3 linked regions of the Saccharomyces cerevisiae S288C genome follow. The gene in region 3 interacts genetically with the main gene of each other region. Each region holds a gene or a part of one and is shown on either strand. Other genes may lie near its edges. The genes, in order: AZR1, YOL029C and YPL088W.

Region 1 (4,263 bases), on a different chromosome or scaffold from region 3:
CATATTTTTTTCTTTTTTTCTGATCCAAAGTTTTGTAAAACTTTAAAAGAGTTATATAAGCAAGTATTATTATCGTTGGAGGAAGAAAATTTGACCTTCCTTCAACTTTTGATTTTTTATTTTTTTGTTTCCAAGGATTAAAGTGTTCTTTGAGTACTAATCGTTCATCATTTTATTTTATTTTTGGCGCCTTAAAAATGGAACAAGGCAGACGCCGAAAAATACAAAAACAAAAGTCGAAATAAAAAGGGAAACTTCTATTGAAGGTGACATAGAGGCATTGACGCTCTTGCTATATGAACGTCGTTTATCATACCAGTATAAAAATCTAAATTAACTATTTAATAGCTGTACTCATACTGTCTCGGATTACCCTCTTACTGTTATCGTTAGTTGTGGTACACAATTCAGCAAGCTAAACAGCCAATTACTAAAAGTCATGTTTATTTTTTCTGCAGCTTTACACTTTGAGGCTCGCCACCTTCTAAATCGTGCTTAACTTATCTCAGGCTTGCTGTGACTTTCTTATTTGAAGCAAAAACAGCAAAAATGAGAGATAATGCATAAAATCCTAATGCCATGTAAAAGACGTCAGTGAGAGATTCAGAAATTATATTGCCCAATTTGGAATGAGAGCCATCGAAATTGGTCTGCCTATAGATTACCAGATTGTCTACCGTGGTACCATCTGGGAGCTGAATATTAGCCTTGGTTAATTTCTTGATAGCAGCAGCACTGAAAACAGTGTTAGAGATGACACCTCCCAGTGCTTGACCTAGATTTTTGCAAAATGTGTTAAAAGTGGTAATAGAGACAAAATCTGATCGAAAAGTTGGGCTCTTCTTGTCTAACTGAATTTGAGAAGCGAGCATGGAACTTTGTGCCAAACCACCGAAAGCAACGCCAGGTAATATCAAAAGGCCGATGTGAGCAGAGTTATTGGCATTATTGTTCAATAGGGTTAATATACCCGCACCAACAACACCAAAAATGCTTGAAATAACAATAATCGGTTTGATTTGGCGGGTTTTGTCGGTGATAGCACCGCAAAGTATTGCTGTAACGACTGTAGAAATAATGCAAGCAACCAGGTGTACAGCGGCTCTCCAGGCGGAATCATTGTAAATTAATTGGAAGTATTGCACAATATACGTAAACTGACTGATATATCCTGCACAAGTGAGAAACAAGGCTATATTAACCGTGAAAATACCTGGTTTCTTGATATTTGTCCATGACATTAATGGTTGGTAATGTGGTGTTGCTTTCACTATATTAAATTTGGGGAAGACAAGGAAATCATAGATACCTGCTAACACTACCAGGACTATACCGATGATGAAAAGAATAATGATGGATGCAGAGTTCCAAGCATACCGGTTACCGCCAAATGTGAAAGCCAATAGAATACATGTGAATCCAGCTGAACAAAACACAAACTCGATAATATCATACATGAAAATCAATTCCATGAACGGCTTTCTCCACCCATTAAGTTTGCTAAACCCTTTGATTTTCAATAAATGATATGCTACATTCCGAACAATTTCGATAAACTGTGATGGAAATTTGCGGATGTTATCCATTGTCTCTTGAAATGTACTTAAACCTGGGTTATAAAAGAACAGGAATAAGAAAAATGCTAGGCCACCGATCGGTAAATTAACATAGAAGCACCATCTCCATGTGACGCTGGAGGTGAAAACTCCTCCAAGGAAAGGCCCAACAACAGATGCAATAGCAAACGAACAACTCAAAACAGCAATTAGTATGCCTCTCTGCGACTCCTCTACCAGGGTTGAACCAATGACGAACGATAAACTTTGAATACCACAACCGCCGACTCCAGCAATAACTCTACCACCAATGAGCATACTCATTGAATTTGCTAAAGCAGAGATCAGCGACCCGATTTCAAAAATGACAATAGCAAATAGCATGGTCTCCTTGAATCCGATAGGTGTGGCAATTCTTCCCCATATCAACGCCAACAGAGCGTTTGGTAAGCTATACCCGGTAAATAACCACCCGATCTCAGAGTACGATCCAAACTGTTTAGCTACTTCTTCAATGATTGTAGAAACTATCATGATATCCAAGGCTGCCAGAAACAGCGACAAAGCCAATGCTATCAAAGATGCGTACAAGATAAACCCTTTAGGTAGTTCATTACTTTCGCTGGCGTTGTCCTCGAGCACCACGCTCACGTTTTGTTTTGATGTTGACTGCGTAGAATTTCGTCTCACAACATATTGTTTTTGCTGTTTCTCGTTCTGTTGTTGTGCTTTCTCACCGTAGTATGAGAGGTCGCTCATGCTGTAAGTCTTAGGTTCGCCTTTCATTGGGCTGCAATTTAGATACTAATGTAGACGTGGTGTTACTACAATTGTAGAAGAAAAGATACAAGATTTAAAGGACGTTGCAAGAGGGTACGGAAACTCTAGCATTATATATAATCAATTGATACAGTGCCGATTCTTTGATATAAGACATTTTTCTTTAAATTAATGTAGTGGTTCTGCTTGACACTTTTTATTGTATTTCCAGCCATAGCATATAGAAGCGCGGAAATACAGCGGATATCCGCTAGTTGGCGGAAATAATGCAAATTGGTAAGATCCTATGGTAACAGTGCAAGAAAGGGGCCTGAGTTAAAAAGAGAAAATGAGCCTATCCTAATGATGATAGCCAGGTTCATATTAACGTTGTTTACCTTTGTGTTCAAGATCAGGGGCTTTTGGCAGTATCTGAGCGAAATGAAATAAAGAAATTGATAATCACGTGATCACGGCTTTCTGGCTTGTAAAGCCGGTTATATTTATTTACCTTAGTAATACGTACTGCGGGGGCTATTGTTAAAGGGAAGAGAAACCAGAAGATCTGGAAAGGCAGCGATTATTAGAGGACAACTATAAGCATACATAACTAGCAGATGGATGTTCGTCGACCTATAAGGGAGGCAGTCAACAACAGGAGGAAACCAAAATTTTTGAGCGTTTCGTTTAACCAAGATGATTCGTGTTTCAGCGTGGCGTTAGAGAATGGATTTCGTATTTTCAATACAGATCCATTGACTAGTAAGCTATCGAAAACATTTAAAGAGTCTGCGACCAACCAATCCAGGGGCACTGGGATTGGCTATACCAGGATGCTTTATCGTACGAATTACATCGCACTAGTCGGAGGTGGTAAACGACCAAGGCATGCTCTAAATAAACTGATCATCTGGGATGATCTTTTGCAAAAGGAAACGATTACTTTGAAGTTTATGTCTTCCATTAAAGACGTGTTTTTATCTAGGATTCATATTGTGGTAGTCCTGGAGAACACAATAGAGATCTTCCAATTTCAAACCAATCCTCAAAGAATTTGTCCTATTTTGGATATCCCTCCCAATGGATCAGTGGACTATGTCGTTTGTAGCAGCAAACATCTCCAGTCGCAAGCATCGCAGTCACAGTCTAAAATCTTAGAAATCATTGCATTCCCATCGAATAAATGCGTAGGCCAAATTCAAGTAGCCGACCTATCACAAATAAAATATAATTCACAAAACCCGAAGGAATCAGCGCTTTTGCCCACTTCCATCATTAAAGCACATAAAAATCCCATCAAACTGGTTAGACTGAACCGTCAAGGCACCATGGTAGCAACATGTTCCGTCCAGGGTACACTTATAAGAATCTTCAGTACGCATAACGGTACTTTAATCAAAGAATTTAGAAGAGGGGTGGACAAGGCGGATATTTACGAGATGAGTTTCAGCCCCAATGGTAGTAAGTTGGCCGTATTGTCAAATAAGCAAACATTGCATATTTTCCAAATTTTTGAAACAACCAATACAGAAACGAATACACCAGACCACTCTCGTGCCAATGGTTCGAGCCATCCCTTGAAAAATTATATACCGAAGGGCCTATGGAGGCCCAAGTATTTGGACTCTGTGTGGTCGATATGCAATGCTCACTTAAAGAACCCAATCTTTGACGCTCACAGAAATGACAACAGTGGTGATGTAACTCACGATAACGAGTTCTATAAAGACAGATGTAGAATTGGCTGGTGTCAAGACTCTAATAATAGAGAACAAGACGATTCGTTGGTTCTGGTGTGGCAAAATTCTGGGATATGGGAGAAATTTGTTATTTTGGAGAAGGAACAACAAGATTCATCGAAAACGCATTATTCATTGAATGAAAGCTTGAGGAACGAAGATACGAAATCAGCGGGTGAGCCCACCAGATGGGAGTTGGTGAGAGAATC
Region 2 (2,879 bases), on a different chromosome or scaffold from region 3:
GCTGCGAAGACTTTTGTCATTAAGAAAGATTGATATTAGATCAAAGCCTAAGAAAAAAACTAAAAAAAACTAAAAAAAAAAAGTCAATCGGTTCTCTTTTCTCTGACAACAATGGCAAAAGATCAAAGAGAAGCGTACGTCACGGCAAAACCAGCGACCCTTCAAAACTAAATTATTATGCATGTATATAATAGACACCCTATCTAAACTACCGCCTTATTTTTTTTTTTATACAGGAGCAAAGTGTCTTTTTTGTGATGGCCACGAGGGTCCTTTCACTCATGACTCCTTAATCAGCATCTTATGAGCTGGATTTTCATATATCGGCGATTTTTTTCATCGGTAATGCACGCAGTAAAGCTGCTCGCTCGAGAAAAATTAGTAATATATGGAAGAAGAAGCATAAGCATAAAAGAGAAAATCCGCTGCCCCACCGTAGAAAGCAAACAAGGCTATTGGTTATTCCTCTTTTCACCTGTACTTCAATCTGTAGCACATCATCATAAGAGGCTTGAAAGTTGCTCAAGAACAGTTTCAACGGTTTTTTCTTTTGAAATTTGAAAATTGCTCTTCGTTTGTTGAGCCGTTATCAAGGAAGTAAATCATCAATTAAAGAATATAGAAAGGCACAAAATTTTGTCATTTACGCACACTTTCAATGGATCATGAGACAACGAAGGTCTGTAGTAGCAGTTAGCGTAAAGCCCAAAGGCTTCAAATTGGGGCATAAACAGGGTTCCATGTCTACGACGTCTCCACCTCCATCCTCACCAGATGGAAATGTGAGTACATCAGGACCGTCAGCTATTAAGTTATCCAAGAATTGGGAGTTACCACAGCGCCTAAAACCGGGCCGCAAACCGAAATCCAAGCGCGGGGATGCATCAGCTAATAATGATGGATCGTCCAAGATAAAGAAGGTTCAAACTTCCAACCAGAAAGACCAAATGACCACAAAAGATCATGAGAACGAAGGCGCAAAAGGTCATGAGGGGAAATCTGATGATGAAGGCAACGGAAGTGGTGATGAAAACGGTGTCGATAGCGTGGAAAAGCGAAGGAGGCAAAATAGAGATGCGCAAAGAGCATATAGGGAACGCAGAACAACAAGAATCCAGGTTCTGGAAGAGAAGGTTGAGATGCTACACAATTTGGTCGATGATTGGCAAAGGAAATATAAACTGCTGGAATCTGAGTTTTCCGATACAAAGGAAAACTTGCAAAAATCAATAGCATTAAACAACGAATTGCAAAAAGCCTTGCCTTTGATTGTTAATACTCCATTTCAACAGCAGCCAGAAAACCCGCCAGACAATCCTATTTCGATATTAGAAATGGTAGAAAACTTTAAACCAATCGGCGCTGTCAGTTTAAAAAAAGGAAAGCTGAAGGCCCATTGTTAACATCTCATGTGCCCGCGGTATTAACAGACCAGTCTTTGTCTGAGATTGATATAGCCAACGATTATCAATATCTGAGCGGCAGACAGTTTAGTTCAACGAATTCATCGCTTGATGGCCATATTAATTCACCTCTGTCTTCATGCAGCAGCAGTATCAATGCATGTGCAGGCAGTGGCAACAAAAAAATAAAATGTTGTAGGAATAAAGATGCCATGAAACCAGTAACATGTTGCAACCAAAAGAATAACATAATGCCATCCTTAGTCCCCGTTTGCTGTTCAGAAAAGAAAATAGAATCCGATGCTAAGAAATCAATATCGAAATGCTGTGGAGACAAAGAAATCTACGATAGCGAGAATAGACCGATCACTAAAGAGGATGGGTCATGGATACCTGGAAGCTGCAAGCAATGTAGATCAGACCCCCATAGTAGGAATTTTTGTCAATCACTTTCGAATAAATGTAGTTCAAGCTCTTTCTCTTCCAACAGTGCGTTGTCACCGGATCTAAATGAACAACAAACTGACGTAAATTACAATTCAATCAAGCTACCCGAAATATGTTCCTGCAAGAATGCACAAATGAATGCGGCTTCCGATGCAAAGAGGTATCTGCCGATCAGTTACACATATCAAAAAATCCGTCAACATATGCAAAAAAATAAAAGTATCCAAGAACAACTAAATCCTGAGGATTCAACTTCGATCTCATCAGCGTTAGAGAACATTGCATCTGGATTGCACGTTCGTGGACAGAAAGTAGAATTGCAAAGCATCAAGGATGCATTACATAAGATGGACAAAAACGTCTTGGAATGATGTATTTAGAAAGAAAAGAAAAGTGGAAGCATAAATAGTGCATATAGATATAGGTATATATATGAATTTTTTAATAATAATATTAATGATGTTTTTTTATCTTAAGAACATTAAAAGTAAGCGGCGCTAACGGAATAATTAGAAACAATGTGGTAAAGAACGGGGGTGAAAACTCATAAAACCAAGTTATAAAGTTCTGCCAAAGCACGGAATATCAAAGGAATCTCAATAATTCCGGCAGCACCCTTTGATTTCGAGGACGATTGGCTGGACGAAGTAGCAGATGCGGCAGATTTTAGCAAGCTCGTTTCGCTAGCAGAAGGGGAGGAGGAAGATGCCTTTGAAGTCGAGGATGATGATTCAGAAGATGAAGAAGCGGAAGATGAAGATGAAGAGGAAGAAGAGGATGAAGAGGAGGTGTCGTCGTCTTCTTCGTCGTCATCGTCCTTAGCATCACAACTTTGTTGGGTGGCGATTCCGGTTCCCATAGGAGAACCTGCTCCAGATGTGAAGTAAGCAGAAGCAGCACTTGGCATAGCAGGCAAAGTGTTATTAGCTTCCCAGACACCCTTTTCATAATCAGGACATGTAGAATAGTTGTTGGAAGTACTGTAACCACCATTGCCTTCTGGGTTGGATACTTTGCTGTATTCATTTT
Region 3 (3,475 bases):
TCAATCAGAGAAGTTGGCTTGCCCCAATAACCTTCAATCGGGGCTTCTGGATAAGGCCAGCTGAACAGCATTTGATTTTTTTCTTTATCTTACTTTCTTAAAAATTCACTAGGTTCTATGATATATCCTTTTGCTTAAATTCTTGAATTGAAAAACGAAGAACAATGCAGATAAACCAGATAGTTATTTCCTTTTTTTTTTTCACTATTAGCAAATATTCAAAGATTGAAGCATGCAATAGAAAGAAAGCAAGCGAAGTAAAATAAGAAAGGCACACCTGTCATTATGGCATTATAAAAAGAAACTGATGGATAAGTTGCTTTCAGGAAATCTGATCCCCTGATTCTGTAGGTTGGCGTACGCTATCGGACATGCTATGCCACTCTCCGGGAACGAGGGATTTAAAAAAGGGACATGAAGTAATATGAGCCGAATGGCTACGATCAGTAAAAATCAGCAGGTGTCATGTTACAGTATATATGATTCTCGTTATTTAGCCTTCTATATATCAGTGGGCCCATGAAAATCTAACTTAACATCTTTGCCTCTGGGGTTTGTAGGGCTCCTCGAGGTACTTTATCTCTTCTTCTGTTAGAGTTACTTGTAGTGCGGCAATCGCTTCGTCTACTCTTGCTGTAGTGTTCAATCCCACAATAGGGTGACATCCTTTATGCAAAACCCATGCAATGGAGAGCATAGCCATCGAGACTTTTTTGTCCTTCGACACCTTTTCCACACGATTTATAATTTCCTTTTGTTCTTCTTCGAGATTATCCAAATGTAACGACTTGAAAGTTGGATCACTCTTAATCCTGTCCGTGCTTTGGTTCAGAGGACGAGTCAACATGCCTCGTGCGTTAGGAGACCATGGAAGTAAACCAATATTGTGTCTTTTGGCAAAAGGAATCAATTCGCGTTCATCTTCACGATAGAGCAAATTGTAGTAAGACTGCGAAGAAATGAACTGAAACCAGCCATATTTATCGGCTGTGAACTGCAGTTCTGCAAATTCAGTTGCCAACATACTCGAAGCCCCAATGTATCTAACGTGGCCCGCTTCAACAACATCATTCAATGCCTTCATGATCTCTTTCATTGGCGTTTCATGATCTAATCTGTGAATTTGTAAAAGGTCTATATATGTGCCCAGTCTTTTCACAGAGTTCTCGACACCAGCAATTATATGCTTTCTGGATAAACCCCGCTGGTTGGACAAGTCCAATTCTTCAAATTCATTTAAAGTGAAGTTATGATGCAAATCAAGCGTTTCATCAACTGGGAAGTAAATTTTGGTCATAATCACCACCGTTTCTCTCTTTATACTGTAGTACTCCAGAAACTCCTTAATTATTCTTTCACTCAAACCATTAGAATAAAAATCTGCTGTGTCAAAAGTACGAAGACCTTTATCGTAACAATGCTTCATAATCTTGAAAATTTGGGTCTTGTCCTCTATGACCCAGTCCGCCCATTTCTTGGACCCGTATGACATACATCCTATCACTATCGGTGATATCTTAAGACCTGAGTTACCGAGTCTTACCTGCTTAACTAAAACCATTTCTGCCGCCTGATGTGGGTCTTCCGTAACAGCCAAATTACATAGTTGGCAAGACAATTAATATATGATACCTTGTTCTCTGGGTCCTAATATATATATATATATATATATATATACGAAAAGGCTGAGAAGAATAAGGCAGATGTTAGCTTAGCTTCTTTTACTCAAGCAATGAAAACAAAATCGAAGGGAAACAAATTCAAACCAAGCGGCCGAGTTATCTCCCGTTCCTAACCTACTACACTAATCACATTTTTCCGTGGAAATAACGTTATTGAAAATGCGTTCTTGCCTGCCATACGTGGGTGAAATACTTCCACGTTCGCAAAAAATACTTCCACGGTGACGAAGTCTGTCTCAGTCGTATATTAAATGCAGAAATCGTCTTATCATTATTGGGCTCTCTTAACGGCGCAGCATCACCGGGTGATGAATGCCAAGCCGCAGAAAGAAAGAAAAAAATTTACTTCAGATTTCTGATAAAAATAAAACGGAAGAGATGAAAGCTAATAATAGAAACAGCTCGATCTTCCTCTGAACAATAATAATTAAAGGACAGACAAAAAGAAACGTAAGAAAGAAGCGAGCCTGTTCTAAAGTGTTCAACGACTGATTCAATTAGAACTGCCTACTCCTGATAGCCAACTCAACTTTTGACTCGTTAAAGTAATTGAAAGCTGGCAAGCAGAATTATTCTTTTTTTTTTTCAAGGTTTCTATCACGTTGTGAGGTTAATATCCCCCGGAGCAAACAGGCTGAAGCGTGAAAAAAACTTAAATATTAAAGTGTCGCAAAACTATACTATAGATACAACATGGGTAGACGGAAGATTGAAATCCAGAGAATTTCTGATGACAGAAATAGGGCTGTCACGTTTATAAAACGTAAAGCTGGCCTTTTTAAGAAGGCCCATGAACTATCCGTTCTTTGTCAAGTAGACATAGCCGTCATTATACTGGGGTCCAATAACACGTTCTATGAGTTTTCCTCTGTGGATACGAATGATTTAATCTATCACTACCAAAATGACAAAAACTTGCTTCACGAAGTGAAAGATCCTTCCGATTATGGAGACTTTCACAAAAGTGCATCCGTTAACATAAATCAAGACCTACTCAGGTCGTCTATGTCAAATAAGCCTTCGAAATCAAATGTTAAAGGAATGAACCAGTCAGAAAATGATGATGATGAGAACAATGATGAGGACGACGATGATCATGGCAATTTTGAGAGGAATTCAAATATGCATTCGAATAAAAAAGCCTCTGATAAAAATATACCGAGTGCACACATGAAGTTGTTATCCCCGACCGCACTCATTTCAAAGATGGATGGTAGTGAGCAAAATAAACGTCATCCTGAGAACGCGCTGCCGCCTTTACAACATTTGAAAAGATTGAAACCGGATCCTTTGCAAATAAGTAGAACTCCGCAACAGCAACAGCAGCAAAATATATCGAGACCATACCATAGTAGCATGTACAATCTTAACCAGCCTTCATCCAGTTCATCTTCTCCTTCCACGATGGATTTTCCAAAATTACCAAGCTTTCAAAACTCTTCCTTTAATGGTCGTCCTCCACCCATTTCCATTTCACCGAACAAGTTCAGTAAGCCATTTACAAATGCATCCTCAAGGACCCCTAAACAGGAGCACAAAATTAACAATAGTGGCAGCAATAATAATGACAACAGCAACTACACTCAGTCACCATCTAATTCTTTGGAAGACTCTATTCAGCAGACTGTCAAAGCAAGAAGGAAATTGTCCGCCAGACCGGTACTTCGTGTGAGAATTCCGAACAACAATTTCAGCAGTAATTCCGCTATTCCAAGTGAACCCTCCTCTGCCTCCTCCACATCGGCCAACGGCAATAGTATGGGCTCTTCGCAGATAATGAAAGAAAACAAAAC

Evidence for each region.
Region 1: mutations in YPL088W (region 3) and AZR1 together harm fitness more than expected from each alone (negative genetic interaction), as found in Saccharomyces cerevisiae (one large-scale study listed by BioGRID).
Region 2: mutations in YPL088W (region 3) and YOL029C together harm fitness more than expected from each alone (negative genetic interaction), as found in Saccharomyces cerevisiae (one large-scale study listed by BioGRID).

What each region holds. Positions count from the first base shown.
Region 1 is NC_001139.9:940,885-945,147, reverse strand, and holds AZR1 (azole transporter), read right to left. Parts: upstream 2,343-4,263; coding exon 501-2,342; downstream 1-500. Other genes in the region: AMA1 (Ama1p), read right to left, coding at 1-3; phosphatidylinositol-3,5-bisphosphate binding protein HSV2, read left to right, coding at 2,933-4,263. UniProt on the Saccharomyces cerevisiae protein: Transporter protein required for adaptation to high stress imposed by low-chain organic acids, in particular by acetic acid, and for resistance to azoles, especially to ketoconazole and fluconazole.
Region 2 is NC_001147.6:269,157-272,035, reverse strand, and holds YOL029C (uncharacterized protein), read left to right. Parts: upstream 1-1,615; coding exon 1,616-2,221; downstream 2,222-2,879. Other genes in the region: ribosome-binding protein MDM38, read left to right, coding at 1-33; YAP7 (Yap7p), read left to right, coding at 666-1,403; GAS5 (1,3-beta-glucanosyltransferase), read right to left, coding at 2,395-2,879.
Region 3 is NC_001148.4:380,051-383,525, reverse strand, and holds YPL088W (aldo-keto reductase superfamily protein), read right to left. Parts: upstream 1,562-3,475; coding exon 533-1,561; downstream 1-532. Other genes in the region: YDC1 (alkaline dihydroceramidase), read right to left, coding at 1-71; RLM1 (Rlm1p), read left to right, coding at 2,376-3,475. UniProt on the Saccharomyces cerevisiae protein: Putative aryl-alcohol dehydrogenase.